2 linked regions of the Diceros bicornis minor genome follow. The protein of the gene in region 1 interacts with the protein of each later gene in a biochemical or structural test. Links are inferred from orthologs where the notes say so. Each region holds a gene or a part of one and is shown on either strand. Other genes may lie near its edges.

Region 1 (15,174 bases):
AGTATTATTATTTTTTTTTTTACTATCCTACGTGGCAAAATAAACAGTTAGCAACCCTAGGTTGGTCCCTGCAGTTTCAAATGCAATCCTGTGTCTCGGTGTCAGGTGGAGGAGCTCTGAGGGCTGTGGGGCCGGGAAGGCTTCAGGAATGAGGCAGTGGCTTGGAGCGAGCGGGGTCTCCTCTGCTCCCTCATTACGCCTGGCTGGGCTGACACCCGCCTCGGTGCCCTGCTGGCTGAGCCCTGTTTAGATCTCTGTGACTCGTACCTGCCACCTTTCTGGCTCTGGGCGTTGATTTCCCCGAAAGCAGGAGGAATGGGGACGGGGCCTCGGGTGTTGGAGGAGATAGGTGGGCCCTCCCCAGGAGAGCGGGGCCCAGCTGGAGCTACTGGCCCGGCTCAGAACAGAGCCCCATCCACACGTCTTTGGCTGGCCCTTGGCCTGGTACAAGTGGGAATTCCTGGCCCTGCCCGTCACTGGAGCAGGTATGACAGCCACGCGGTGACACCAGGCCTAGGCACTTGGGTGCTTAACTACGCTGGGGCAGGCGGACAGATAGGCAGACGGGCAGACTGGCAGAGGGCCTCCACGGAGCCCACCCCCCACCCAGCTCCTGCGCACCATGGCCCAGGAGACCAGGCCGGCCGTGCCCAGGGGCAGGAGGGGCTGGGTGTTCTTGGCCTGTGTCTCCGTGGTGACCGCCCGGCGGTGGGCTGTCGCCCGCCGTGCCTCTCTGCGAAGCCTCACACCCTACCCAGCACCTCTGCCGGCACCAGCACCAGCACCAGCCACCGAGGTGAGTTTCCAGGGCAACCAGTGCCTCTGCCGAGAGGCTGGGTGGGTCACAGCTGGGCCGCAGCCACCGCAGCTACTGGGGAGGTGGCTTCCCTCTACTTCCTCCCCTCCTGTCGGAACTGGTTGAAGGAGTTTGGCTGGAAGCTGAGAATCTCCATCTCCCATTCTGGGTGTGAGGGAGGAGGCAGTGGGGGGGGGCGCTGCCAGTGGTGCCTGAGGATGCCCACCCCTGCCAGCCTGTCTCTCTGCTCTCCTCCCGGGAGGGTTGGGGCAGGTGGCTGTGGGTTGTCCGAGCTGCTCCTGTTCCTCTGGTGCTTCTCAGATTACAGAGGGCTTTCGTGCACTGTCTCAGCATCTGCTCTCCTAGAACCCTGAGAGCCAGATGTTGTTGTTATTATTATCTCCATCTTACTGGTAGAGAAATTGGGGCTCAGAGAGGTGAAGCTGAGGCTACAAAGAGGCAGAGCAGGGACTTGAGCACAAACCTAGGCTACAAATCTTGAGAGAGAGAGAGGCTCCCAAACCTATAGGCCCCCTTCTCAGCCTTGTGTGTCCAGCCTGCGGCCTGCGTGGGCTTGGCGTGGGACGGGACCCTGTCTCCGTCTCCGTCTCTGACTGTTCCCTCTCGGGTGTTCTCCGTGTTTCGGGCTCAGTTAGTTTGCAGAGTCTCTGTCTCTGTTTGCGTCTGTTTGTGTCCCCTTCTGCTTCTCTTCCTCTCTTCTGTCCTCCCCCTTGGGCCGTCACAGGTTGGATTGGTGGCCTTCAGGGGTGTCAGTGACCCCTGGGGTGTCGGGCACTGAGCATTCCGAGAGTAAGAGACAGTTGTCAGAGTGGCCCCCGCTTCCCACTCTGTGGACGGTGTTTATTACGGTGACCCTGGACTGCGTGTACACTCCTCTGAGGGCCCCTCAACATTCCGAGACTTAGGGGCTGTGAGCGCCCCTTTCCGGGGGAGGACAGTGAGGCCCCATGGCAAGTTCATGGCTGAGCCGAAACTCACCGTCCCAGTCTTGGGCCGTTTCCGTGGCTCCAGGCATCGATGCATCTTGCTCTGGTTGGCGGGGACAGCAACGCCCTGTGAGGTCAGAGATTTGGGTCGATGATGATGTCAGATCCTTCCACCCAGAATGGTCTCCTGGAGGCTCAGATGCTTCATTCGCTGGCTCTTGACCATCTCTGAGCATGGCCTCCAGCCTGTGGGGACCCTCCCTTCTCCAGAAGAGGAACAAGCCCCTGGAGGTACCCAGGAGCCCAGTGGCAGAGGAGGTGGGGCTAAGCCAGGCCCACCCACTGTCCCAGGACCTCCCACGCTTGGCCCAGGTGCATCACCTGCCAAGGTGTGTGCTCACCCGCCCACAGAGGGCAACCCCAGGACCTGGCAGGCCAGGAATGGTGACATCAGTGTCAGGAAATGACCAAGGAGCCTGGCCAGGCCACACCCTCCCCGTGTCCTCCCCAGGCTCTAAATATAGACCAGAAAAGACAAAGCAGACAGGGTGACCTCCATCTGCCCAGCACGAGGTGAAAGGTTGTCCACCAAGGCCTGACTTGAGTCTGGAGACCTGGCTCCTCTTCCTCACTGGGGTCACAGCTCCCCCGGCATTGCCTTGAGCCCAATTCTCATTCTGAGCCACTGTGTGCCTGGCAGACCTCCCCAGAGCTGCACCCCAGGCCCAAACCCCATTCCCCGGGACCCCATGAATCAGCTATCATGTACCGGGCAAAGGGGTGGGTGGAAGGTAGGGAGCATGGGCCGGGCAGAAGAGGGGCTGGCTCGAGGCTCCGGGGATGGCAGCAGGTCTGTGTGAGCCTGGCTGGGCATGGTGAGAGAGGACCCCGAGATGCAAGGTGGGGTGCACCAAGCAGTTGATCTTTTGCCCGAGGGCAGTGCTGGAGGCTTTGAAGGGTCAAGACCCCTGTAGCTGCCGTGCATCAAGGGGATCAGTGTTGGGATGAAAGTGAGAAGGAAAAGGGGCTCTGGAGGTTTGGCCTGAGCATACCTTTCCCTTCAGCCAGAGGTGGCTGCCCAGGGGCCTCTAAGCCAGGGAGTGACGGAAGGCCCAGTGGGGTCTGTGGCAAACCCATGAGCACATGCCTTGGCTGCGGAGGACAGCTGCCCGTCAGCTCCCGCCCAGTCTCCTGTCGTGCGGGAACGCAGACGCGGTGTGGCCAGGTCGTCCAGTTACAGGAGAAGCCAGAAATGTGGATTTTTATATGAAATCACCTGACCTTTTACTGTTGGCTCAAAAATTGAAAAACACTTTGCAAGCCAAACAAAACACACGTGGGCTGGATTTGGCCTGGTTCTCGTCCTTGGCTGTCAGCTCAAAACCTGTCTTTTAAGCTTCCTGTGCCAGGAGCATCCCGACTGCGGAACAGTCTGGACAGCATTGTTCTTGGGGCCTCTTGTGACTCCCGAGGAGGGGTGGATGCTTCCCCCAGGGAAACGTTGGGAACCCGGGATGCCTGGGGACGAGGTGGGCTGTGAGCAGGATGAGGGAGGAGAGGAGTAACACCAGTTCATAATCACCCGCACTTCCTACAGTGCTTTGTGCTCTCTGTCCCTCCCAGCAGACCCCCCAGCCCCCAGCCTCGTCTGACTGCCCCACTGAGCTGTGTGACTTGGTTTCCCAGCCGCCCACTGCTTTGGCCCCCAAAGTGAAGCCTCCAGCCCCTTTTGTGTAAGGATGCTATGAGTGCCGCTGGGACATAGGACATGGTGAAGCTGTCATGCCAGGTGTCACTGCCATGGCCCGGGGTCTGAAGATTGTCACCCCCCCTCCATGGCTGCTTGGAACCTCAGTGGCATTGGAGGATGAGTCTCAAACTGTGTCCTTCTTCTAACTTCTATTATGGGGAATTCCAAATAGACACAAAAGGGAGAAAAATGGCATAAAGGCACCCCAGCTTTCACGATCACCCGTGCAGGGCCACTCTTATTTCTTGTCTGCCCCCACATCCTGCCCCCCTCCTTCAGCGGACGATGTTTACACAAATCCCAGGCATGTAATTCCATTCATAAATATTCCACTATGTTACTCTAATAATAACCAAAATCCCATGATCACACCCAAAAAATGATGTCGAATATCCAAATATTCAGTAGCGTTCAAATAATCCCAGTGGTCCCTTGGGTTTTTTTTTTTTTTTTTTTTTTTTTTGTGAGGAGGATCAGCCCTGAGCTAACATCTGCCAATCCTCCTCTTTTTGCTGAGGAAGACTGGCCCTGGGCTAACATCCGTGCCCATCTTCCTCCACTTTATATGGGACGCCGCCACAGCATGGCTTGCCAAGCGGTGCATCAGTGAGCTCCCAGGATCCGAACCGGCGAACCCCGGGCCGCGGCAGCGGAGTGCGCACTTAACCGCTTGTGCCACCGGGCCGGCCCCTTAGGTTTTTTTTTTTAACAGTTGCCCTGTTTGAATCACAATCCAAAATCCACATGTCGCATTTGGTTGACATCTCTTACCTTCCCATAGTTTCCCCTTTATTTTTTTCCCGGAAATGTATTTGTTGAGGAAACTGGGTGGTTCGTCCTTAGAGATCCCCACAGCCTGGAATTTGCCGATTGTATCCTATGGCGTGTTTAACATGTTCCTCTGGCCCCTGTGATCCCCCAAGTGGGAGCCACCTGCAGACGCCTGGTGGGATTCAGGTTTGGTTTTTGGCGAGAACACTTCATGAGTGGCTCTGTGTTCCTGGTCACAGGTGGCACCTACTTTCCTGGTCCCCTCTCTGTGGGGCCAGCCCTGCCCTTGGTAAGGGATCCACCCCACAGCTTTCGGCGGGCATTATGAGGGGAGCTGCATGAGGGCTCGGGAGAGGGCCTTGCACACGGGAGGCACGCAGTGCATCGCAGCTCCTGTCGCTAACAGTGTGGGGCAGTCTCCGCCTGCCTGACCTAGGGGCACCGGGCACCTGTGGAAGGGGCTTCACCTGTGCCGTCTCATTAGTTATGCCCCCATTACACAGGAGAACACTGTGTCTTGGAGGTGAGGTGATTTGCCTGGGGGAAATGGGGTCACACAGTAAGAAAGGGGTGAAGCTGGTCCTCAAACCCAGGCATTTTGGTGCCTCAACCTGTCCTCTATGCTACATTGACACCCTGGGAACTAGGGGTGTGTGTGTGTGCAGCTGGAGTGGTGACCAGGCTTGCCAGGACCCCAGAGGGGAGCCCCAAAGTGGGGGGCAAACAAGGCAGGGAGGAGGACTTCATAAAAACAAACAGACATTAACCAGAGGGACTGATTAGGTAAAGGATATACCTCCCCACCCGCTCTATGCATGTGAGGTCCAGGGAGTAGGATGGCAGGCAGCCCAGGCGGCTGTGTTGGGGGCAAGTGTAGTGATGGAATTCCCCACTTCTCACCTCTCCAGCCTACTTGGGCCCTCCCAACCCCAGCACCCTGGACCTTCAAGGTCAGAGAGGTGGTGACATGGGATACACTCCTCTGCACTCTCCAGCCCTTTCCAGGCTGTAAAATGGGCACGAGCCGGCTTCCCAGGCCCCTCCCTGGGAGAAAGAGATAAGGAGAGCAGAGAAGAGATAAAGTGAGCTGCAGGCAGGTGCTGGATTTACTCAGCAAGTTCTGAATTCCCCGAGGCTGAGAGCTTGGCCCCAGTAGCAGGAGTGGGAGGAGAAGCTTTTAGCCAGAGGGCATGTCCAGTGTCCTGGTCATCCCTTTGTTGCTTTGGAGGACCTCTTTCCTCTAAATGTGCCCCTCCCCCAAGGACAGAGCATGGAAGCTTCCTAACCAGCCTCCTAGGAATCACCACCCCAAACCAAATCTACCCATCTTGCTTTAAAAAAAGAACAAAAACACAGCACTTATGACATGTGCATGATTATTAAAATATTTTAGAAAAATTGGAAAATTCCAAGAAGTAAAAAGAAAAAAACGTATAGCACTGCCCAGAAATACCCACCATTACTTTTGCAAAGTGGGTCCCTCTAGCCGTATGCGTGTGTGTGGTATCTGGTTCTGAAAGCACATTCTGCTGCATCCTGGTTTTCTCACTTCACAGGTCCAGGAGAGCATTTCCCTGCATCCTGGGTCTGCTGTGCTGCGCCATGGCACCGAGGGGCCTGTCAGTTAGCATAGGGCATTTGAGTTGATTCGGTTTGGCAGAATTGTAGTCGAGGTTTCCATCAACATCCTCGTACAGAAATCCATGTCCACACCTCTGATTGCTTCCTTAGGGTGAATTCCTAAGAGTGGGATTATCAAGTCAAAGGGCATGAGCGTTTTTAATGCCCTTAATAGAAACTGCCAAATTGTTTTCTGCCCGTCTTTGTGAAGGCCTTGTACCCGGACAGAAAACCACCAGGCTGGCGCTCAAACTGGGTCCACACGTGGGTGGTGCTAGAAGGGGTCCCACCGTCCATGGATATCTGAGGCTTGGCACACAGTGGGTGCGCAAGACTGGCTTGTGGAATGTGTAGTCTGGTCCTGCCCTCTCATTTTACAGATGGCGAAACTGAGGCCCAATGGTATTGGACCGCTTCTGGGAGGGTGGTGGCATTGCCAGGGCTGCAGCCATCATCGCCAGCCTCTGTGAGGGCTGAGGGCTGAGGGCTGAGGCCAGGCAGGCCCCAACAGAGGATTAGGTGTGAGGGAGGTTCCCATTCATTCATCTATCCGCACAAACACCCTCTTGACCGCTGTTAACCTCCAGGCTCCCTCTTCCTTCCTCACCCGCTTATAGAAAGAGTAGCTGAGACTCCCTAGCCCTGCTTCCTCCCCAGCCCTCAGCAGCCTCATTTCCACCCTGACTGCTGCCCTGAGACCTTAGGCACTCAAGCCACCAGTGGCCCCAGTTGACCAGGCCAGTGGCCAGGTGCTGTGGCGGGCAGTTGTCACTCCTGATCTCTTACTCTTTCTTGAATGTCTGCAGGCCCCAACCCCGGTGACACCTGGTCTCGGTTCCTCCCCACCTCCCTGTGCCTCCTCTGCCTCCATTCTGCCAGGGTGGCCAGAGGGCTGAAAGGAGATAGTGCAGGCAACCGCCCCTTTGCAAACACACTTCAACACTCAGGATTTCCAAAAACCCATGTGCACCGGGGACACGGTCATCCTTCCAGGACTCAGGAGCACACAGTCAGGCCCAGGCACCAGCTGAGTAATAAACATCAGTCACCCAGTGTGAGCCTCTCCGATGAAGAAACTGAGGCTCAGAGAGGTTAAGCAACTTGTCCAAGGCCACAGAGCTAGGGAGGGGCTTGACTGGAATTCGTGGGAGGTGAGTCTGACTCTAGGGCCACTTGACCACACGTCAACTCGTACACAAGTCACATCTCTACACAACACATACACTGCACCAGCGCACGCACCGACAGAAGGTGCCTGACCGCCGTACCCACACCCCACAACACACACAGCACGTGTACTCCGGAACACGCAAGCAGCCAGCGGGGCCGCGGGGCGGCGCGGGCGCGCACACGGCCCCCCGTACCTCCGGCCCCGCCCCCGCGCCTCCGGCCCCGCCTCCCGAGGCCCCGCCCCCGGGCTGACCTCGGCGGGGCCGGGCCGCGGGCGCAGAGCGGAGGCAGCACAGAGCCGCCCCCGCCGCGCGCCGGGCCGGCCTCGCGCCCGCGCCGCCCCGGGTCCCGCGGCCCGGCCGGCCGCCGCGAGCCGCCCATGGTGCAGCGCATGTGGGCCGAGGCGGCTGGGCCTGCGGGCGGCGCCGAGCCGCTGTTTCCGGACTCCCGGCGGAGCCGCAGCCTGTGGGACGCCGTGCGCCTGGAGGTGGGCGGCCCCGACAGCTGCCCGGTGGTGCTGCACAGCTTCACGCAGCTCGACCCCGACCTGCCGCGTCTGGAGGTGGGTGGACCGGGCCGGCCCGCGGCCGGCGAGCGTGGGTGGGGGCCCGGCGTCCTTAGCGGGTCTCCCGCCTCCAGTTTGGGTCCGGGGGGAGGGGACGGTCCTTCCGCAGAAATCCCCCTTCTTGCTCCGACCGCAAGGCAGCAAGATGGGCGTGGGGGCTGCCGGCACACCCGAGCCAACAGTTTGGGGACCAGAACCGGTCTTCGTGCCCCCTGTATCCGTCCGTCCCAGGGCTTCCCTCACCGGTGTGCCGGCCCCGCGCCCCTGCAGCCCGGGTAGACCCGTTCCCGCGGGCTGTCACCGGCTGTTTACATCGGCGAACTTCCCAACAGCAGGGGCTGGGCCGCATTTCTCCTCCCTTGCCAGCGCGGGCCTGCACCGGCGGTTGGGCTTGCCAGGGCAGGTGGTGAACTCGTGGTTAGGTTGGCAAAGTCCTAGAACCCTCATAGGCGGTTGGGACCCCAGGGGCCTTCCAGACAAGCCCGCCTTGAGGGCAGAGGAGGGGCGTGGAGGAGAGGCAGGCCTCCCACCACAGGGCCAGGTGTCCAGGCGGGGAGGTTGGGACAAGGGCCTCTCCCGCCGAGGGGGTGACTCATTTCTGCTTGGTTAGAAAATACACCAACACCTTGCGTTTGTAAGGATTTGGGAAGACTCAGAGAAGACGGAATGTGCCTGTCAGGGGTGGGGGTGGGGGTGACTGGGTGAGGGCTGGGACTCTTGTTTCTAGTGCTCTGGGCAGTGGGGCCCAGTGGGTCATGGGGTCGTCACCGGGGAGGGGGGATGCCCTACTCCTTCTGCCACCTGGCTGTGCACCTGACTTGGTTCAGTGGAGGTAACAGATTCTGGGGATGGGCCCCCTCACCCCACTCTGCCTGAGCATGGGGCCTGGACAGAGGGCATCCCTGGGTCGATAGAGGCCAGAGCCTCAGCAGTGAAGTTCCGGAGCTCCCCACGCTGGTTAGGGCCCCTTGGTGCTCCCCCGCTTCATCACCTTAGGCCCTGGTTCGTTGTAATTGCCGGTGATTGCTGGCCTGGTTCTTGTGTCTCTGCGTGTCCTCAGTGCCTAGACAGGGCCTGAATGCATAATTGCTCAAGGATAACATACATGTCCCTGCACAGCGTGGGGGAAGGCAAGAGGTGGGGCAGCTCTTAGTGGGGGAACCGGGGGGCTGGGAGGCCCTTTCCTCCTGAGCTTGGTGGGTGGCTGCCCCAGGCATGTTTTCCAGCCTTCATCCAGCCACAGCTCTGGTCTTCATTGGCAGCTGGAGCTGGACCCCTGGGAGGGTGGTGGGGGGGAGGCCTGACACCAGCCCAGTGCTCATCTGACTTTCATTATGTCTGGCAGCGACTTGGGCTTTGTGTGCTGGGAGGGTCCAGCCTGCCCATTCATGGGGGCTAGGCAGGTTCCTGGCCAGGGTGGGGCAGGCCACTCGGCAGCTTCTGTCCCTCCTTCTTTCTGTTTGTCTGTCCATCTGCATCCCTGAGGAATTGAGGGAGAGGCAGATCTGAGCCCTACCCCTGCCCAGGGGTCTGCCTTGTCTCTCTCTCTCTCTTTCTGTCTTTCCCTTTCTCTTTCTCTCTCTTTTCCTCTCCTGCTGCTGCTGCTCTCCCTCACCCGGCCTCAGCACTGAGATCCAGGCCGTGGCCACTGTTTAGAAATCAAAGGGGAAGCTTCTGGCTGGGGCAGAAAAACCAGGGTCCTGGCAGGAGAGGAGGCCACTGCCGGAAACAAAACACAATAACCATTTACCATGGGCCGGGGGAGGGGGTGGGGAAGTCCCTGTCCCTCCTGCCAACACCCGCCCCCCCCCCATCCTGGGGCTGATTTCCTGGTCGCTGTAGCGTGCCAGAGCTGAAGCAGCCCTGCTTGTGGTCCCTGTCCTCTGGAAACTACCAGGCAGCTTCTGCCTTCCCTCCCCCATCCCCATTTTCCTACCAAGCCTCCACCCAATCCTTCCCTCTCTGGGCTGCCAGATGTCCTCGCACATCTGGGCATCCGCTCGTCATCTTGATTCTAAGCCAAGGCACCATGTGATTGGCCTGCGCAATTCTGTGCTTTCTGGAGGTCACCTGGCCCATGCCCCCGTCTCCAGGCAGGCCACTACCTTGGCCAGGCAGGGGGCGTTCTCGAGTCTGTAGTACCTACTGACTGCAGATACCACCCCACCCCCCCATTCCAGCTGGCTTTGACCAACCCTCCAGAGTAGGTGCCAGCCCCCCTGTATAGGAGACTGGAGCTCAGAGAAGCGATGTCCCTGATCTAAGCATACACACAGCCAAGGAGGACACAGCCAGGATTTGAACATGGGCTGTGTTCTCTCTCGGGCGCCTGCTATGTGTGCATGAGCCGGCAGGGATCAGAGAATGATAGGGCAGAGCTTTGCCGAGGCAACTATGAGTGCACGGGAGGAGGGTGGAGCCGTGGGGGGAACGGAACCAGGCCCAGGCAGCCCAGAAGCCCCGAGATCAAGTGAGGGGCGGGGATGCTTATAGACCAGCAGAAGGCAAAAGTGCTTTGGGCCTGAGGACACTGGGGAGAGCTTCCAGGAAGAAGCAAGCCCACAGCTGGACACCAAAGGTTTAAAATAATAGCTAACATGAGCCAGCACTTGGTGGGAGGCTCTGTGCTAAGTAATTTGCATTCATTATGTCCTTTTGCGGTCAGCACTATCAATAGCCCATTAAACAGACAAACAACTGAGGCACTCGAGGTTAATTAGATTGTACAAACTCACCAAGCTAGTAAGTGGCAGAGGCGAGATTCTGACCCGGGCTGTGTGACTGCAAGGCCTGAGCGCTGTCTGTGGGCGGAACGGAATGCAGAGGGCTTTTCTGCTCTTTGGGTGGAGGTACTCCTGGGAGAGTTGCCCTCCAGCCTCCCCGCCTCCTTCCCGGTTGTCTGGTCTCTTGATTGCACTGTGTGCAGGGCTTCAGTTTAACCCCCAGCACTCATTAGCTTCTGACACTGGAGGCCCCAGAGGCATGGCCTAAGGGGTGCACATATGTGTGCATGTATGTGTGTCTGTCTGTATGTCTTCGTACTGTGATCTTCAATAGGGGCTTACTGGCTGACTCCAAGGGGGCAGCCTCTAGGAGCTGCAGTGCCTGTCAAGTTCAGGAGGAGACTGACCGACTGCCGCCTGCTGGGCCTCCACAGACCCTCAAGTTCCATTCTTACTTTACTCTTCAGGGCCCCAGGAGAAGAGGAGGGAGGAGGCCAGGCTGGCTAGTACTGGGTCCTCATACCTTCTCTACATGGGAGACACTTGAGCATGCTGGACTGCTTCCCTAGAGGCCCAGGGATGGTCCTGGTGCAGGAGTGGGTGCGTGCGGTGGGGGGTCAACCTGGGAGATGTTAAATTGCTTGCAGGCAGGGCTGGGGTCCAATCCTCAACCTAGAAGTTGAGTTTCCCAGGCTCCGTCTTCATTGCCGCTGAGAAGGGGCTGTAGTAGATTGAGTGAGCCCGTGAGGGCGGTTTCAGGAGGCTGCACCCAGGCAGTTGAGGACTGATTCCCAGGGGCTGCTGGCTGGCCGCCCGGACAGCTCCCACGCCGTGGCACCGTGCTGTGGCCACACTGTCCAGGCGTGGGCCTCCAGCCTCGCAGGCCCAGAGACACCGTGTTCCCAGACACACGGTTCCAGCAAAGTGACTCTCCCCAATCTGATTCCGAGGAGACGGGAGTTGAAAGCTGCAGCCTAGTGCAGGAGAAGCAGAACTGTGGGCAGACCTGACTCTCCATCTCCTGTCCGGCCCATGGCTGGGGAGTGAGCAGATGATAGCCCAAAGGTTGCTCAGTGAGAGGCAGGGGCACCCGTGTGCAGGCCTGCATCCGGGGCCTGCGTTCCGGGAGCTCTCGGTGTGCGTGCTGCTTTGGCATTTCCTCTCCTCTCCAGGGACCGTTGGATGTTTGCACAGGCTGCTCGGCAGTCACACCTGGAGGTGTGATGTTGTCCTTTTGTACCCAGGGGCGGGGTCACGTATGCTGGTAGAGAGCTTGGGCTCTGGAGGGAAGGGAGCTGTGCTGGGATGCCAGCCCGGCCCCTTGCAGCCCTAGACCTGCTCCTGCTCCCTGAGCCTCAGTTTCCTCATCTGTAACATGGACCTGTTGCCAGATCCTCCCCTTAGGGTTCTGGTGAGGATGGAGTGAGACAGGTGGCCTGACAAGCAGTCCCCACGGTACCTGGCACAGCATCAGAGCCAGACAGGTGGTGGCTGCTGTGATTGTGTTTTCTGACAAGGTGCCAGGGGAGTGCCCGTGCCCTGGGCTCCTGGGGTATGCTGCCCAGCCCAGTCAGCAAGGTGCTTCCCAGGCCTGGTTCTCATAGCTGACCTCAGGGCCCGTGGGTGCCCTGGCCGTCCTGTGCCAGGAGCCCCAACAAACCCCCTCTCAGTGGAGAGGTGCAGGTGTGAGCGAGCTGAGCCCTGCCACCCCCGACTGGCTGTGTGACCTGAGAAAGTCCTTCCAGTCTCTTGTCTCTCTTCCCACATCTGTGTGACCAGGGGCTCGACTCTGCTCTGAGGCTGTGATCATGGCAGCCACTGGTGGAGCAAGGCCTAGGTGTGTCTTCACAGGACATTGCAGTCACGGACCAGGGTTCAAATCCCTGCCCCAGCTGCCACTTCCTCGCTCCTGACCTGGGCGAGTTCCTGCCCAGTTCTTTCCTCATCCATCAAGTGAGGTGTTGGGAGGGTTAAATATGATGAGTGGGCAAAGGGCCTGGCACCCAGGAAGTACCCACTGGTCAGTGGGGGACACTGGTCAGTGTCCAGTTGGGGGTGGACCTTCAGCTGGCCCCGCCCTGCACCCTCTCGGGACCAGGCCATCCTCCTCCTCAGCCGTCACCAGCCACACCCCCTTGCAGGCCTGGCCCCTGGTGGCCTGCTGGCCTGACAGTCAGGAGCCGGTCACGAACAGACAGGAGGATGGGTGTGGGGAGGGCCAGTTTCCCCTCCACACCTGAGGCACGTCTTTCCTCTAAATGCTGACAAGTAGCTGGGGTCAGGCTGGCGAGGAGGATTCTTGGGGAGATGGGTCAGCCTTTGCGGCGGGCTCAGCACAGGCTGGTCCCCAAACTCCAATTTCTGGGATCACCAAGCTCCATGGTTGCCCTGGCAACCAGGCACTTTGTGTGGTCCCTGGCTGAGGCTGCCTCTGTGGGACCAGGAGTGTGGCCCACCCCCATCCAGGGCCAACTTTGCATCCCCACCAGGGTCCTGTCCATCCATGCCTTTGGGTTCAGGGTGCAGGCCCGAGGGCAGGCCCTGCTGCACCCCAGGAGGGTCATGCCTGCTTGGCATTTGCATTCTGGCTGCTTTGTTGGGCGTATGGTCTAAGAGATGAACCAGGACCTAGACTTGAGAAGTCCTGGTTTCTCTCCTCAGCCTGGAGACTCTCTACTTGACCCTGTCTCCTGAGCCTGTCTGTACTCTGTAAAATGGGCGGGTGGCATGGTGTTCAAACTGTCCCAGGAGCCAGGGATTCTGGAGAGGCTGAGCAGCCCTCTGATCAGTCTCACGTTTTGGCTCCTACATTTGAGCACAAGGCTAGAAAGTCAGAAAGCTGCCCGGCTGGCTCCCACCTGCAGTTTTAGGATGACCTGCTCCCTCTGGGAGGGGCACTCCTCCAGGTTCCTAGGGCTCTGGCAGGTCTCACAGGTTCCCACCCGCCCGGTGTTCCTCGCCAGCGCGTGGGGGCTGTGAGCGGGGGTCGGGTGTTCCCCAACAACAGCAGCAGCATCGGGTCCCATTTCCTGAATGCTTTCGTGTGCCAGGTGCAGATCCGGGCACACTGCCTGCGTTCTCTTGTGACCCCCCATTTCATAGATGAGCTCACTGAGGCTGAGGGTTGAGCAGCTCGGCAGAGCTGGGAGTCAGAGCCCTCCATGAGAGATGTGACTCTGGTGTCTGCTGGGCCCTAGGGAGGGACCTCGTGGCCAAATGAGGGCCTCAAGGTGACCTCTGTGACTCAGTGGACCTGGCGAGCAGCTCAGCAGGGTGCGGCAAGGTCCCCAAGGGGTGATCTCATGTACTTGGGGGCGCTGCGATTGGAGCCACCCCCACCCTGCCCGTGTGGGGCCACGCCTGTCCACGTGCGGGCCGGAGAGGAGATGAGAGGAGACCTTGGTGCAGGCTCCAGCCCTTCTCCTCCCTCTGTCTCAGCCCTCCGCCAGGTCTCCTTAGGAGGAGCCAGTCTGCGGCCAGAGGTGTCTGTGGGCCTAGTTGTAGCTGCCTCGGGAAATGTGCGTCCAAGTGGGGAGCCAGAGCGGAGGGGTGATCGGGATGGGACAAGGTGCTATCCCCACGTGTCTAGGCACAGGCACCTTCTGGGAGAGGTGGAAAGGCCCAGTAGGTCCTCTCAGGTCTGTCCCCAAATAATGGGTGAGATCGACCCCATTATTCTGCCTTGAGGGAATCAAGGCTTGTCCTGCAGCCGGTCGGGGACACAGCATCCTCCTGGCCCGTCACCAAAAAAGGCTGATCGGATGACACACTTAACAGATGCCACCCAGGCCATTTCCCCTCTCGTCCCCAGGGCCCCAGGCTGTGGGCTTCCTGATGACGGCTCCTGGGCCTCCCAGAGCCCTTGAGGGTCAGGAGGGGAGGGCACCCTGGATGCCTGTCGTGCCGGCCTCTGCTCTCCGTGGGGACATCACACCATCCTCACTCCACTTGATCCAGGTGGTGGGAGGCCAGACTGTGTGTGCAAGACACAGTTGCCCACTGGGTCCCAGCGCCATGGGGGTATTGGCGAGTGCCTGCTTCGGGTGAGAGAAGAGGATCTGTCCCCTGAGGACACAGCCGTCCATGTGGCATTCTTTTCCCCAACAGCCAGCTGAGTGCTGCCCTGTGGACACCTCCCTTCAGGACATCTGTTAGCTAGGCCATCCCCCACCTTCCCCAGGAGCTCCCCAGCCCCTGCCAGAGCGTCCCTGGGGGGCCTGGGCGCTGTCCACTCTGCTAACAGGGTGGCCCAGGGTCACCTTCGGGCACCAGGGCCCTGCCCTTCCGACCCTAGAGGGTCCTGGGGGCAATGCCAGAGCTGTTGGCCACTTTCCTTCTCTGTCCCTGGAGGGGGGTGGGAGCAGGGAACAGATGTCCCTCTCTGCCACTTTCTGCCCGGGACCAGGGAGAACTCGCTTTAGAACCCTCTCCTCTGTCGTGTCTTGGCAGACAGTGTAAATGGTGCCTGTGCTTAGCGCTGCTCTCACGGTCTGGTTTTGTTGTTCCTGAGGAAGGAACCAGAGAAGACAGGGTTAGCTCCGCAGGGCTGGAGCAGCTCCCCATCTGTGTGACAGGGTGGTGACACCCCTCCCCCATTAGCATGTGTGGCTCTCAGCATCCTGCCCTGCCCCCCACCCGGCTGGCAGAAGGGGGCCCCTCGGGAGTGGGGAAAGGGCTGGGAGATCACATGACACCCAGGCAGGGCTGGCCAGCTGCTTGCTGCCAGCGAGGCCCATGGCTCACTGCAGATCTATGTGCTATGAGACCTGCTCAAGTGTTGGCAAGGCCGCCCAGCCCCAGCCGCTCCTATGGGTTGGCCTGGCCGGGGAGCA
Region 2 (15,050 bases), on another chromosome or scaffold:
TAAGCCCCATATATTGCAATTGGTTGATATGTATCTTAAGTTTCTTTTAATCTGTAGGTTTTGCTTCCATCTCTTTTCCTTTTTTCTCATAATTTATTTATTGAAGAAATCAGATTATATATCCAATAGACTTTCTGCGGGAAGATTTTTAACCATTACCTCAATTTCTTTAAGTTAGATAGGACATATTTAAGATTTTTATTTCTCTTTAGTCAGTTTACAAGCCATGTACTTCCAGAAATTTGTCCATTTTGTCTAAGTTTTCAAAATCTTTGGTATAGTTATTGATAGTATTCTCTTACTATCTTTCTAGTCTCTAATTTACCTATGGTTTTATCCCCTTCTCCCCACGACATTATTTGTGTTTTTGTTGCTCTTCTCTTGATTACTATTGCAACAGTTTTTTAATTATTTTTAAAAGGACTGTTTTTTGGCATTGTTGAGTTTTTCTAGTGTATCTTTATTTTTCATTCACTTTCTCTCATTTTTGTATTTCTTTCCTTCTATTTCTGAAGTTATTTCTAATTTCTAAAGAAGTTCATTTTAATTAATCTTGTCTTCTTTTCCAAAATAAGCATTAAACCTATAAATTTCCATCAAAGAGCTACTTTGCTGTATCTCACAGGTTTGATATATAATATTTTCATTATTGTTCAGTTCCAAGTGTTTAAATTTCTTCTTTAACCAATGAATTATTAAGCATTATAAGTTTTTAAATTTCCAAATATATGGGTTCTTCATTTGTCTTTTCATTATTTTTAAAGTTCTAATGTAATTAGGAACTCAGAGTCTGATTGATACCTATTCTTTAAAATGTATTGAGATTTTTCATTATGATCTAGTATATGATCAATTTTTGCAAATGTTCTGTACATGCTGGGAAAAAACACATATGCTCTAATCATTGGTGGTAGAATTCCATATATGTCCATTAGTCCAATTTTGTTAATTAGCTATTCAAATCTTCAATATCCCTGTAATTTTTGTCTGCTTGAATTACCAATAATTGAGAGAGGAATATGCCCCATAGGGGTAGATTTATCAATTTTTCCCTACAGTTCTATTAATTTTTGCTTTATATAATTTGAGGCTATTTTACTAGTGCCTATATAGCAAAAATTCTTGGTGTATTGAATCTACGATCTTTGTATAGTAATTCTTTCCAAGCCTAAGAATACTTTTGACTTACAATGAATTTAATCTGATACTAATACCACTATATCAGCTTTCCTTTGGTTAATAATTTGCCTGATAGAACTTCTAACATATCCTTTCATTCAATTTTTCTATGTCCTTATCCTTTAGGTGCACTTTTTGTAAACTGCATATAAATGGATTATTTTTTTTTAACTGGTGAGTTTAGTTTTTATAATTATTGATACATTAAATTCTATTTTGACTATCTTATTTTTTCAGTATCTTTAAATTCTATTACTTTTAATATTATTCTTCCTTTTTTCTTTTTGTGAATACTTATATATACAATCTCCCTCTTAATAAGACAAGAACACCTTTGGCACATTCTCAAACCTCTTAACGTAACCCCCATCATGCTATTATATAGACTTTTAATTTTGAGGAATTATGGATGTATTTTTATTTCTCTGGTTTTAGGTTTTTTTCTTTTTTTGTGTGTGAAGAAGATTAGCCCTGAGCTAACATCCCATGCCAATCTTCCTTTTTTTTTTGCTGAGGAAGATTGGCCCTGGCCTAACATACATGCCCACCTCCCTCTACTTTATACGGGATGCTGCTACAGCATGACTTGACAAGCCGTGCATTTGTCCACACCTGGGATCTGAACCTGCGAACACTGGGCCCCCAAAGTGGATCGCTACTCCACAGGGCCGGCCCCTGGTCTTAGAGATTTTTAAAGACAATAACTGATATTACTAAAATATTTGATCACTTTTTCTTCATACATCTTGTGCAACATCACTTAGATTTTTTTCTATCTTTTCCTTAAGTATTTATCCATTGTTTTCAAAGTGGGTCTCTGTGTGGCAATATTCTGAGGCCTTCCATGCCTGAGAATATTCATATCTTATTCTCATACTTGAATGACACTTGGCTGAATATAAAACTTCAGTTTCTAAGTTCTTTTCCCTTCAATATTTTGAAAATCTTATTCTATTGTTCTTCTTGCTTCTAACGCTGCTACTGAGAAATCTGTGTTTAATCTGCTATTAATCTTTCATACTGTAAACATTTTGTATTTTCTCTTTGTCTTGGTTATCCAAAATTTCACTGTAATCTGTGTAGATATGGGTTTTCCATATCACTCTCCTTTGATACTCCACGGTCCCTTCGGTCTGAGGTCTTTTATTTGTTCATCCACCCATTCATTTATGGGAAATTTAACATTATCATTTCTCTAAGAAGTCATCCATCTATTTTTCCTTCTTCTTTTGGGGATTCCTATTATCTGTATGCTGCCACTTCTACTTTGGTTCTTCACATCTCTTGGCTTTTCCTTTTCCTATTTCTTTGAACTTCTCTTCTTCCTTCTGTGAGATGACCTCCATCCGGTCTTGCAATTCACTCATGTGTTCCTTAACTGTGTCCCTTCTGCTATCTTCTGCTCTCTCTCCTGTTCTTTAACTACTACCTCTTTCATTTTTAACATATCGACTTCATTCCTTTCTGTTTGTTTCTTTATTTTCATATGGCTAACACTATCCCTTATTTTTTTTATTATGTTTATTAGGCTAATTTTAAATTTTTGGTCCATTCTAATGTTTATGCTTCTGATGGAATCTATATATTTTTTTCTTTTGAAATAGTTATACTTCTCAAAATATCTTGTTATTCGCCATGTGCATTCATTTTTCTCTGAAAATGTGTATGAGGATAGGCCTAGGGTGACCCACTAGGACTGAGGAGTTTTGTAGAATGCGGGACTAAAGCCAAGACAGTCCCAGGTAGACAAGGATGGTTGATCACCTTACTAGACCCCATTTCGAGTCATGCCAAGTTGCTCAGAGGGTGACAGCGAATGAGTTTTAGAGTGGAGAACGCTAAATCTCAAAAAATCACAGAGAGAAGCAACATCAGTAGGAGCAGTCCTTGTGTTGTAATTGACCAGCCCAGGGAAGTTAGAGCAGGTGTGGGTGGGCAAATGCCCAAAGTTGGTTAGGACCTAAGGCGTTTCTAGGCTCCTCACAAGCACAGGGCTTCTGTGCAGCCCTGATTCTCCTCTTCAGTCCACTTGATTCAGAACTCTAAGTCACCACACGCTAGGGGGAGGGAGCAGGCACTGATTTTCCCAAGGCAATGGTGAGCGAGAAGCACAAGCAGATTTACAACAGTTCTGTTCCTGTTTTCTTCTCCCACAGTGTGGCCCGCTGCTTACTGCCCCAGGCCTAAACCACCACTCCCCCAGCCCCCGTGCCAAACAGTTCAAAAAAAAAAAACACCTCTTATTACCACGGTTTTCTCATAGTTTTCTCCATTTGAGGGTGTTTCACCCTCTATGTTACTCCACTGATCTTGGAGGAAGGAGCAGTAATAATGCTAGTTCAGCATCTTCATATCACATATTTGTATAGTGGTTGCTAATTATTTTTAAATTTTTTATTAAAAAAACAAAGAGTTTCTTGGAGATGTGGGAAAGGGCTTTGGAAATGGCAAAGTACTATAAATATTAGTTACGTTATTATGAATAATATCAAGATGTGTTCATATGCCTCCTGTAGATTAATTTTTCAAAAATATTCTTATATTTGTACAGAAAATAGCATTAGAAAAATTACTACAAGCAAATTTGACCAGAAACCACAAAATGTCTGACAAACTTCTGATTTTTATTACAAGTATTTATTATTGTTGCTATACTCTTACATTTGGTACATCTATGAGGTTTTTTATTTCCAAAATGCAACACTAATCTGTACTTATTATTCCTTACAGCTTTGTTATTGAAAAGATTTTTCTATGGCAAGGTACAAAACGGCATTCTAGGGAAAACATTTTAAATTACATTATTTACCAAAAAGACTATCTTTATATATTACTGGTCTATTGAAATTTTTCTTTTCAATTGAATTGCATTCATTTTTACATAATGCATGTCAATAACAGCTACCATGAAAAAAACAACCATAAGCAAAAATTGTTTTCCTGCCTGTCTTCATTTTTTGCTCCTCCTCATTTTTCTTTCTACTTCTATTTGTGAAAGTTTAAATCCCTCCTTCTTGATGCCCTGAAGTCCATAATTACTTCTCATGACAAATCTTTCATGATGCCCACATTATAAATTATTCATGATTTGAATGATGCTTTAATTTCAAATGTACCCTTGTACTCTTTCCACTTTTTCTTCTGTATTATTTTCCCTATATTTTTATACCTTTTATAATCTTGCTTTGAGATTTCTAGCTTCTGATTTTTTCCCTGATAGTTGTCCCTAGAAGGGCATTGCTACAGGGAATTAAAGAATCAAGTGATTCTGCATTTCCCTCACTTCACTCTTACTTCATTCCTGCTTTCTTCCTGTGTTTTTTTGGTTCCTTACATCTGGAGTGCTCCCTTCTGCCCAATCTAGTCTATTCTTTAGCCACTTCCTTCAAAATCTGGCTCCACGTTAATTTCCTTCAGCAGCTTTCCTTGACTAAACACACTCCAGTTTACTCCTTGTTTCTCTTGATCTCTAGAAATTCATGTATAAACTATACATAACATTACCATGTACTAGAAAATTATTATTGTAATTTTATTCAGTTATTTAGTTATATATTTTGTAATATTTCATTATGTTATTATATTTTATTATACACCCTTGTAACCTCTGATTTTTCCTTATTAGCATTAATTATAGCTATTACATAATGTAAACATGTAAGGGGTCACTTAATGTCTATCACTTCTGTTTATAATGTTTGTATCTCCTGCTAGATTGCAAGTTCTTTTGGCTGTCTACTGTTGAATCATCAGAGCCTAGAATGATATACATAGTAAGCACTCAATAAATAGTATGATGTCTTTCAAATACCATTCAGAATGTTAGTAGAATGAAGAGTGCTCACAAATGCTTGCTGATTTTTTTAAAATACCATTTTGTCTTGAATTCCTCATATTTTCTTTAACAGTTGGGATGTATTTGACTGCAAGATGCAGAAAACCTAACAGACTTGAACACTTAAACTAAAGGACACTTGCTGTTTACTTAGCCGTAAGTCCAAAGGTGGACATTTCCAGTATTGATTTGACAGCTCAATGTTGTCATCCAGGAGTAGGTCTTTTCATCCTTCTCCTCTGCCATCCAAAGCTGGTTAGTTTTCAACCTCAGCCACAAGGTGATGTAGCCCAAAGATGCTGGCCACATTCTCATATTTCAGTATGCAAAGCAGGAAGCAAGCAAGGGGAGTAATGTCAAAAAATGGGAATATCTACTCACTCTTGTGAGAATTCCAGAAATTCCCCACCCCCAGCCGCCTTCTTCCCGTTCCAATGGTGAGAACTGAGTCACGTGCCTTCTTCTGAACTAATTGCACAGAGGGGAAAGCACTGCCATTAATGATCAACCCTGATTCATATCATTTTTTTCAGCAAAAAGAAAGGGAAACTGCTGGGTATATGAGCAATATTGTGCCTGCTCTTCTGCTATGTTAAATGAACCACACTAAAGCTCTTTTTTCCTCAGAACCTTCACGTTCTTAAGATTATTCAGGCTTTTTCTTTTTCCTCCCTATATTTTAATCATTAAGCCTTTTCTTTCAGAAATTTTTTCTGCTTAAAATTGCCTTTTGAAGCATTTACTTGCTCAACCAAAAGGTTTCTTTCATTGACTTGTTTACATACTCAGTGTGTATTTAATTCCTTTTCTTTTCAAAAGTGCTGAGACATATCACATTTTCAAAAGAGAAATAAGTTTATTTTGCCCCTTCCTTTCCCTTCATACATACTTCTGTTTCTCAACTGTATTAGGAGCCTCAGAGGCCAAGAAAATGTCTTCTGCTCTCTTTATAATTGCCAGCAGCATTTCATAGGTGGTAAATGTACTCGACTCGTCCTTCCCCTTTATGGTTACTCAGAGAGACGTAGGCTTTAATAGGAAGCAATAGGAATCAGGGTTTTATAGCCAAGAAGTGCTGGTCATATTACAAATGCCGTCTACTAACTTGTTTATATTAAATTCTTTGCATACTTGCTTCTTGCCAGCATCAGAGAGTCCCAGAACACAGTGTATTTCCCACTTCATTCCACCTTTTCCAACATCTTTTACAGAAGCAAGGAAAGGAGCTGGGTTTCCACGGTAACACAAGTGTGACAGTCGAGGGTATCTGGGCATAGGTGAGATAACTCTCCGATTCAGTGGGGAGAGGAGAAATGAAGTTTTTCTTTCTTTTTTTCTCCAAAGCAATGCACTCCTGAAGCTAAAGAGACCCTAATGTCAGCGTACAGTGTTAAGTTTTCACTATCATACAGATTTACAGCTCTTGGGGAAAATTCAATTTTATTTTATCTCATTTTTATTTTGTCCTTCCCACAAACAAACGAATGGAGACATAAGTTTTTATTTCTAAAATCACTCTCAAAATAGACAGTTCATGCTGGCATAGGAATGAACATGATTAAGGGATCAGACGACAGACACCCATCTCCCACGCAAATCTGCAAAATTCTCTACATATCCTGACATCCTTTCTTATAGTAGCTAATGCTTCAATCAGCATTTCACGTACAGCCTCAAATCAGGTAAGTACCATCACCCAAGACCGAAAAGGTAAGAAAACATGCTCCTACTCACCATGTTTCTCTTGTCTCTTAGCGGTTAAAAATCTACCTTTATGTCATTGAGAATGAAAACTGAGGCCTGTCAATATGAGAAATATAAATGAGATGCAACTACCCCAAGGGCTGAAGTCTCTACATTTCAACTTAGCAAGAAAGTCACCATTGATGAAAGTTCAGGGAAAAGAACCTGAGAAATGTCAAAAAGCTCGCCCACTCTTTATTACGCTAAGTGGAGTGACTAGGGAGCCCACTCACTATTTTTTTGTGACAACTTCTATCAGATGCACTCCAATTCCAAGCTTCTGAACTTCTGGGGACCTAGGAAATGAAAACAGTTGCTTAAGTTTACATTCTAGAACCAAAATGCCAAGGTAAATTTCTAAAGAAAGTCACTGGAAAGTGAATGGTTTTTCAGCTCCACTGTAATGCAAGGTACTACATGCATTGTAATGATCTACACAAGGAGAGCAAGTTTGATGCCTGTTGGCTCTATTTAACCCCCAACAAGTCTAGGAACTCGTTATCATCACAGTACACTATTTGGATCTTAAAAGAGACAGTCTGTTCTTCCTCTGAAAGAAGTCTAGCTGTTGCTAAGCTAAAGTAACCACAAATAAGCATACAAGTTTTACACAGAATATGAGACTTCTAAAAAGCTAGTGAACACTGTATTCACATACATCATCCTCTTCAAACATCCCTGCCAAAAAAGCTCATATATGAAGCGTCACTTCATATCCATGTGAGCTCTCTTAATTTCACTACACTTATTCACATTACTAGTTTAGGATGAGATATCAGATCTTCTTTGGTTTCAATTCTCTTCAAACATTCCTCTGATTCTTAGTTCTTTTGCAGTTTGCATTCACTGCTGATTCTGGCGGCTCAGATATAACCTCTCATATTTTGATGGCATGTAATCGAGAAATAACAATTGAGTTATATTTTACTAAACATTTTGACAGGAAACTTGTCCTCAATTATTTTAAACAAAAACTTGGTATGTGTTATACTATAGCAAGATAACGCAAATGTTAAGTTATCCGTTCTAACATAATGGAGCGACAGAGCAGTAGGACACTACTAAATCTGAGTACATCTTTGCAGTAGTTTGATAATTGATGGCAAAACAACACCTGCTTTTTTGAGGAACTCAGATTAAAATCCTCTCTATACGATGACCTTGTGGGGAAGGGGAGGGGGAAGAGGTACGCCGTGATCAAACATTAAAACTGTAGACATTTGTTATTCCTAAGAAACGTGAGCTAGTAGGGTGTAGACTAGTTCAAGAAAGACATAGTTTAAGGAAGGTAAATCCAATATCAGCTATCACAAAAAATAATCCAGTAATATCTGGGAATATAGCTTCTCAATGTGATGTTATGGGTGGGAGAGAGTGTGTAAGATCTAAAGCTACAGAGAAAAAACGGTAAGTTTTAAAACCGAGTAACTTAAAAAAAATGTTTTAGGAGGCACGCATGGAAGAACCATGCAACTGCTGCAGTACGGAAAATTTCTCAACCTAAAAACAAAAGTCCCTGTTTTCTCGATTCATCCCACGCTTCGGCCCACAGCCCTCAGCACCATTTCCATGCCCATCATTTAGGCAGAATGCCACGGAGACGACCTGAAAAGCGGAATTCACCACTCTCGCCTGCAACACATCTCGCTCCCTACCAGAACAGGGCACAGCGACCAGCCCCTCAATCTCCGACCCCTCCCAAACCCCACCAGCCCCGGCCCTGTCTCCACACCACCGGCACTCGGTGGCAAAGCAATCGCGAATTCCGGCTGGCTCAGCGCAAGCCTCCGTCATGCGTCAGCCCACCTACGATTGGTTGGCAGAGCGTGCGCAGGAGCAAACGCCCAGCCCGGCCAAGCAGTGGGAGGTGGGTTGGACGATCCAGCGACTAGACATTATCCCTGTGGGCCGATGGATGGGCGTCACGTGGTATGAAGCTGCTCCCTATTGGCCGAGAACACTACCATGGGGTCCAGAGACGGGGTCTGGTTGGCTGGAATGAATCCCAGCGTCCTACTAGGTATCCCAGCTGGCTGTTGCTATGAGGTGTCCCTGGGCCTTCTGGCGGCGGCTCGGGGCTCCGCTCTCCCGGTTTTCCAAGCGCCCGGAGCTGACAGGGCGTGGGAAGCGCTCGACAGAAGTCGGGCACTGAAGGGCGGGGCCGGGGGAGGTGGGCGGGGCCCGGCTTCCGCGGTCCCCGGCCTTCGCCGCCTCGGGCAGTGGGCTGTGAGGGGCCTGTCACCTCTCCCTCAGACCTGATGCTTAAAACAAAGCCTCATCTCGTGGTGTTTATGCGCGTCCCCTTAAACAAAGCTTCCTCTCGTTATGTTTACACAACATGAAACCAAAGCTTCTCAGGAATGCTGACAGACAGGAATGCTGGCCGACAGTGGTGTCGGCCAAGGCCCTCACGCCAACGCCTCCTTTTCGACCTTGCCCATGTCTTCTTCTCACTCCCCTCTTCAGGTTAAAGCCTGGAGATTGCTCTGGCCCGCCTAACACCTTGTCTCCGCCAAATTCTGAGCGTGGGATTCTCGAGTTGACGCGGTTCCCGGCTCAGGCGGACAAACTGCGCATGCTCAGTACGCAGGCCTGGGGTTCGACGGGGCGTGCGGGGTGGGGTGTTGGGCGTCCGAGGCGGTTGTTTATCTAAGCGCGGGCAGAGGCTTCCGCGCGGCGCTGAGCCTCCCGGGAGCGCGCGCGGCTGGTCGCTAGGCGACGGGGGTGGGGGCGGGGCTGCGCCGCCAGGCCCCGCCCCGGGCCGCCGGGCCCCGCCCCCGGCAGCACCGCGACTCGGGCTCGGGCGCGCGCTCCGGCGCCGGGGGAAGCGGCGGGCGGGGAGCTGGGCGTGGAGGCGCGAGGGGCGGGGCGGGCGGGCGGCACTGCGGGCCCGCGGCTCGGGCGGCTCCGGCGGCTCCCGCTTCCTGCTCGTCCTCAGAGCCTGCCGGCGCCCGCGGGGCCGCATTGCCGCCCGGCTCGGCCCATGCCCAGGGCCGCTGCTCCCTCCGCCGGCGCCCGGGGGGCTGCGGCGGCCGTGAGGTGGGGGCGGCCGCGGGAGGCGGCGGGGCCGGCCGCCGGCGCAGGGTCCGGGGGCGCAGCGCGGCGGGCGTAGGTCTATGTCGCGGGCGGCGGCGGCGGCGGCGGCCGCGGAGGGACGATGCGCGAGTACAAAGTGGTGGTGCTCGGCTCGGGCGGGGTCGGCAAATCCGCCCTGACCGTGCAGTTCGTGACCGGCACCTTCATCGAGAAATATGACCCCACCATCGAGGACTTCTACCGCAAGGAGATCGAGGTGGACTCGTCGCCGTCGGTGCTGGAGATCCTGGACACGGCGGGCACCGAGCAGTTCGCGTCCATGCGGGACCTGTACATCAAGAACGGCCAGGGCTTCATCCTCGTCTACAGCCTCGTCAACCAGCAGAGCTTCCAGGACATCAAGCCCATGCGGGACCAGATCATCCGAGTGAAGCGGTGAGAGGGCCGGGGTGCAGGCAGGGGGCTCCGCGGTGCGGTCGGCGGCCGCCGTCCCGGGGCCGGGACTCCCTCCCCCGGGCTCCGGCGTGGCCGTGGGCAGGGGGAGCTGTGTAGGGAGGTGGCTCCGGGGTCTTATGCTTTGTAATAAATTTTTTGCCAGCATCGCCATCCTCATCATCTTGAATCTCAAATTTGAGTGCTTTGTTTCACAACTCAAATTTGGCATCCCGTGAACCCACAGCACAGTTCTTTGTCTCTTGGATATTATTAGTAGCGCTTGTGCAGAACCCCAAAGGAGACAAAGTTTAAAACTTGCAAGGGGGAGTGGGGAGGGTAGGTTTGTGTTGGGAGGAAGGGAGCTGTGCAAGTGTAGTGGAGACATTTTCAGACTGAACAACGAAAAAACCTACCTTTGCAATATTTGACAGCAAAAATTGCTCACACGTATGCCGTAAAAATGTCAAGTCGAGAGGAAAGAGACCTTTCTCATCTCAAAAGATTGAATGGTGCCAAGGCGTTTTACGAAAATGAACTCTCCAATTAAGACGAAACTTTAAAAGCGGATTATCAAATTATTTGAAGACACCATAGCAGCTCAGTGGGATTGAGAGAGTATTAGCATATAAGAGTACAAATATGCCGTTCACATTAAAGAATGCAGCTTTTTGTTTTAATCTAGCTGCCTTACCCCCCTCAAAAAAAAAAAAAAAAGAAAAAAGCATTCCTGGAAACAAAAGAGAAGTTTTTTCAGGGTGTGACTCAAGTATTAGATAATTTAAAGTTAATGCAGATAAGGTCTATCCTGATAGAAACTCTTTTCTAGAGTATGCTTTTCGGAAATATGATGGTAGTTTAAATGGCTTAAAATGTTTATTTTCTGTTAAATTGAGTATATTTTTTCTATAGTTTCAAGCATTAAAAATGTAGTAATATCTTAGTTCAAAGTTTTAGCAGATTATTCTAATTACTGTTTAATTACACATTAATGTTTTTGTCTGGTTCTTATTATTAGTTAATAATTGCTAATAATTTTGATTTAGTTTTTCTTTTTCCCACCTAATTCTACCTATAGCTCTAACTTGAAAGACATTTACTGAAAGATGGTTGTAAGTGTACTGTAGACACAATCACATTATAAGTCAGTTGGAGTCTGCTCATTCTGAAAGAGCCAGGGCCAAGTCACGTGTACTAAATCAGGGAGTGCTCAAAAATTCATTACCAGTGGTGGATTTTTAATGCAACAGATGAGATCAAAGAGGAGGCTCTCTCTCCATGACCCCCCCTTAACTCACTGAATATGCACTTTAATAGCTAAACTAAAATTTTGTGTGTTATTTCTTTCATTAAATTTCAAAGTAGGATAAAGTGAATTTTTTCCTGGCCTCTGCTGCTGCTCTAAGATCTGTGAATCTGATAGCTTTTACTTCTCCAACCTTGTTTTCATAATTGCTTATAGTTAACAAATGAACGATTTTGGTGTTAAGCTTAATATGTATATGACATTTTGGGGCTACATTTTAGTGACTCATATCCTTATTTATTACTCCTCCCACCCCAGCTACTCAGAAAAATCCAAAACAAAACTGCAGAACAGAGTAGTCTAATATATTTCACATGTCAGTCTTAGGCCATATACATATATCAAATAGTTGAAGTAAATGCCTCACCCTTTGCATTTAAATATATACATATAATACATACGTTGATAAAGTCACATACCCAGGGCAAACTTCTTGAGACAAGCCTAGGGAACAGAATGGCAAAATATCATTGGATAGTATAGTGCACATGATTTTGTCGTTTCTTATGATTTAGTGCAGATTACTAATAATGGGTTAGTCTAAACTTGGTACAATTTATTTGTAAACTGGAACAATTTGCTTGTTTGCACTGTGACCCAGGAAGAAAAAAAGAGTAAAACTCTACTTGCCCAGATGTCATTTTACTTAGCAGTCTCAGTTTTGATGTAAAAAGATCATTGATCAGCTGAAATAGAGTCCATAAGCTCTTTTCTCTGGATTCATCCATTGTATCCATAAGACCCACTGGGGCCCTTGTGTGTCCTGATATTTTATACCTCACCCTAACCTCATCATCTGGCCTCCTAGCCTATAGCATATGATAAGCAACTTACCTTGAGAGAAAGAAAGGGTCTGTATATTATGTATACTATAATATATAATATATTATGCTAAAGCAAGTGTTCAGTGTAGTTCTTTAACTCTTCCCACTTAAAGAGAATAAGACAGGATTTTCTAATAAGTGAATTTTCTACTCTTTTTGGGTTTAATTTTTAAATTAACCAGTTGCTATAGGAGGTATTTAGTAATTGTTCCCTCCCCTCTGCCTGCTAGCTGCCTTACGTATTAATACAACAGTTGTTTGGGGATATTTAATATCACCATAAAGCAGATGACATAAATGAAGTGCAGAGAGGTTTGGTATTTTGCCCAAGACCAGTCATTGAGGGAGAGGTGATTTAAACCAAGATCTGCCTGAATCCATGTACCATCTTCTTTTCTTCCATACCAGGCTGCCTTTCAACTTGGTATTTACTGGCAAATTCAATATCTGGCCTTTGGTCTAGGGCAGCACTGATCAATGGAAATATAATGTGAGCTACATATGTAATTTTAAGATTTCTAGTAGTTGATTTTAAAAATATATAAAGCAGGTGAAATTAATTTTAATAGTGCATTTTATTTAACCTGTCATATCCAAAATATTGTCATTTCAACATGTAATCAGTATTCAAAAATTGATATATTTTACTTTCTTTTTCATACCAAGTCTTCAAAATCTGGTGTATAATGTACACTTAACAGCACATCTCAATTCAGACGAGCCATACTTCAAGTGCTCAGTAGTCACATGTGGCTACAGGCTACCACTGGACAGCTCAGGTATAAGGTGTGTATGTTTTGGAGAAATGCTTGCTTCTCTAAGCCTCAGTTTCCTTATCTGTAAAATAGAGTAGAGCATGCACCTCTTAGTCTTTGTTAGGATTAGATGATAAAATATGTTTTAAGGTGTCCAACACAATACCTCAAACAGAAATTGCTGCAGAGTTCCAGCTGTTCTTTTATTAATAACTTTGTTACGCTGCCTTCTTTAAATTTTATCCTTGACATAAATGTAATTTTGGAGGAAAGTAATGTGTGATTGTATATTGAAATTCCTTACCTAGTGTAGACAAGATGAGACTAAAAAGCAATGCAGAGTAGAACAATCCTTAGAAAAATTTTGTTGGTGTTCTCTTAAAATATTTTCCCTTATTAAGGATCGTGTGGGAAGGAGCAGGAGGATGAATATTTAACTTCAAGTATAGCACTAATGCATGGCCACACAATGAAATGGAGCTTTGCATTGGATTGTTCTTGTATGGAACGTTTTGCTTTCAAAAAATATAAAACAGGCCCATACTTCCTCAAGTGTTTACAGGTGCACAGACATCCATATACATACACAACCTCCTGTCAAAGCCAAGTGGACCAACTGAAAATGACTGTATTTATAAATTCCTATGCTTTCTTTTTTTAACTTGACTTTGATTGAGATCACACATAAAAGAAAGAGTGATAGGGATACAGAAAATATTTCCATTGAAATGAAACCAGAGTTCTTTCTGATTTCATAATTGCTTTTCTCATTCCTCCCAGGGTAAGCCATGGTCCCGGCTGGAGTATCTTGAACATGTTATCCAAGGCCTGTTGTTCTTAGGATGAAGCCCAGAAATCTTCCACATGACCTTCCCAGGCCCAGCACGCTCTTGTCCCTCCCTGCCTTTACAGCCTCACCCTTACAACCCTCCTCATCCATTAGATTCCAGTACCCAGACCTTCTTTTATTTCCTTAAAAGTGTCAATCTATAGGTTCTCTACCTGTGGAAATCATCTACCTTTTGCAGAGTTTATTCCTGCTCCCTCTTTCTCCACGGCTTAAAAGGTTTCCCCCTCAGGAAAGTCTTTGCAGACTGAATTAACTCCTTCCTGTCTTCCCACCCTGGATTACCTTCATGCCTCAGCCCTCCAGTGAGTACTTCAGACAGCACTGGCCCCCTGTACTTCCCTCTTCCTGTAGCACTCATCAAAGTTTCATTGTTTGTAAGATAATTTACATACAATCGGTCTCTCTCATGAAATTCTAATCCCAGGTGGCTAGCACAGCTCCTGGCACATAGCAATCAAGAAAAACATATTGAAAAAAAGTAGTGTTCAGAAAGAAAAATATTTTTATTTTCCTTTGGCTTTAGTTTCCCCAAACATTTTAATTTTATAGATGGAGAAGATGATTCTTTAAAGCTCATTTTGCAGATGGAGTAGATGATCTTCCTTCATCTCTAACATTCTCTGAGAGTACTTCTATCTAATTGGGGTGACAGGGGAAGAGGCAAATTTTAATATAAACCTTAAAAAAATCAGGAGCACGATGTTTTCCAGATGGAGGAAATAGCATGGGAAATGCATAGAATATATTTGTTAGCTGTTGAATAGACCAGATTGGCTAAACTAGAAATTTATATAGGAGTATGAGAGGAGATAAGGCCAAAAAATGTAAACCTAAATTACGGAAGGTTAAAGACTTTGGACTTGATCTTGTTGTCAAGGACCATGATCAGAATTGTTATGGAAGTAGTAATTATGATGGTAATGTGATAGATGGCTTAGTGGCAATAGGCCAGAGCCAGGAGGAATAGTTGTGAAGCATTGTGATAATCTAGTTTCTATATGAAGTATAAAGATTCTGAATTAGCCTGGTGTCTATAGGAACAGAAAGGAAATATGGTTCAAAATAATGTTGTAAAGAATGAATTAATCAA

What was found.
Region 2: the proteins of RALGDS (region 1) and RAP2A form a complex in vitro, tested with the Homo sapiens proteins (2 studies listed by BioGRID). The link is inferred for Diceros bicornis minor from reciprocal best matches to the Homo sapiens genes RALGDS and RAP2A.

The regions. Positions count from the first base shown.
Region 1 is NC_080767.1:40,106,181-40,121,354, reverse strand, and holds the start of RALGDS (ral guanine nucleotide dissociation stimulator), read left to right. Parts: upstream 1-7,414; 5' UTR 7,415-7,433; coding exon 7,434-7,616; intron 7,617-15,174. UniProt on the Homo sapiens protein: Functions as a guanine nucleotide exchange factor (GEF) activating either RalA or RalB GTPases and plays an important role in intracellular transport. Interacts and acts as an effector molecule for R-Ras, H-Ras, K-Ras, and Rap.
Region 2 is NC_080748.1:73,726,160-73,741,209, forward strand, and holds the start of RAP2A (ras-related protein Rap-2a), read left to right. Parts: upstream 1-9,681; 5' UTR 9,682-9,914; coding exon 9,915-10,228; intron 10,229-13,021; coding exon of another isoform or gene 13,022-13,208; exon of another isoform or gene 13,209-13,296; intron 13,297-15,050. UniProt on the Homo sapiens protein: Small GTP-binding protein which cycles between a GDP-bound inactive and a GTP-bound active form. In its active form interacts with and regulates several effectors including MAP4K4, MINK1 and TNIK.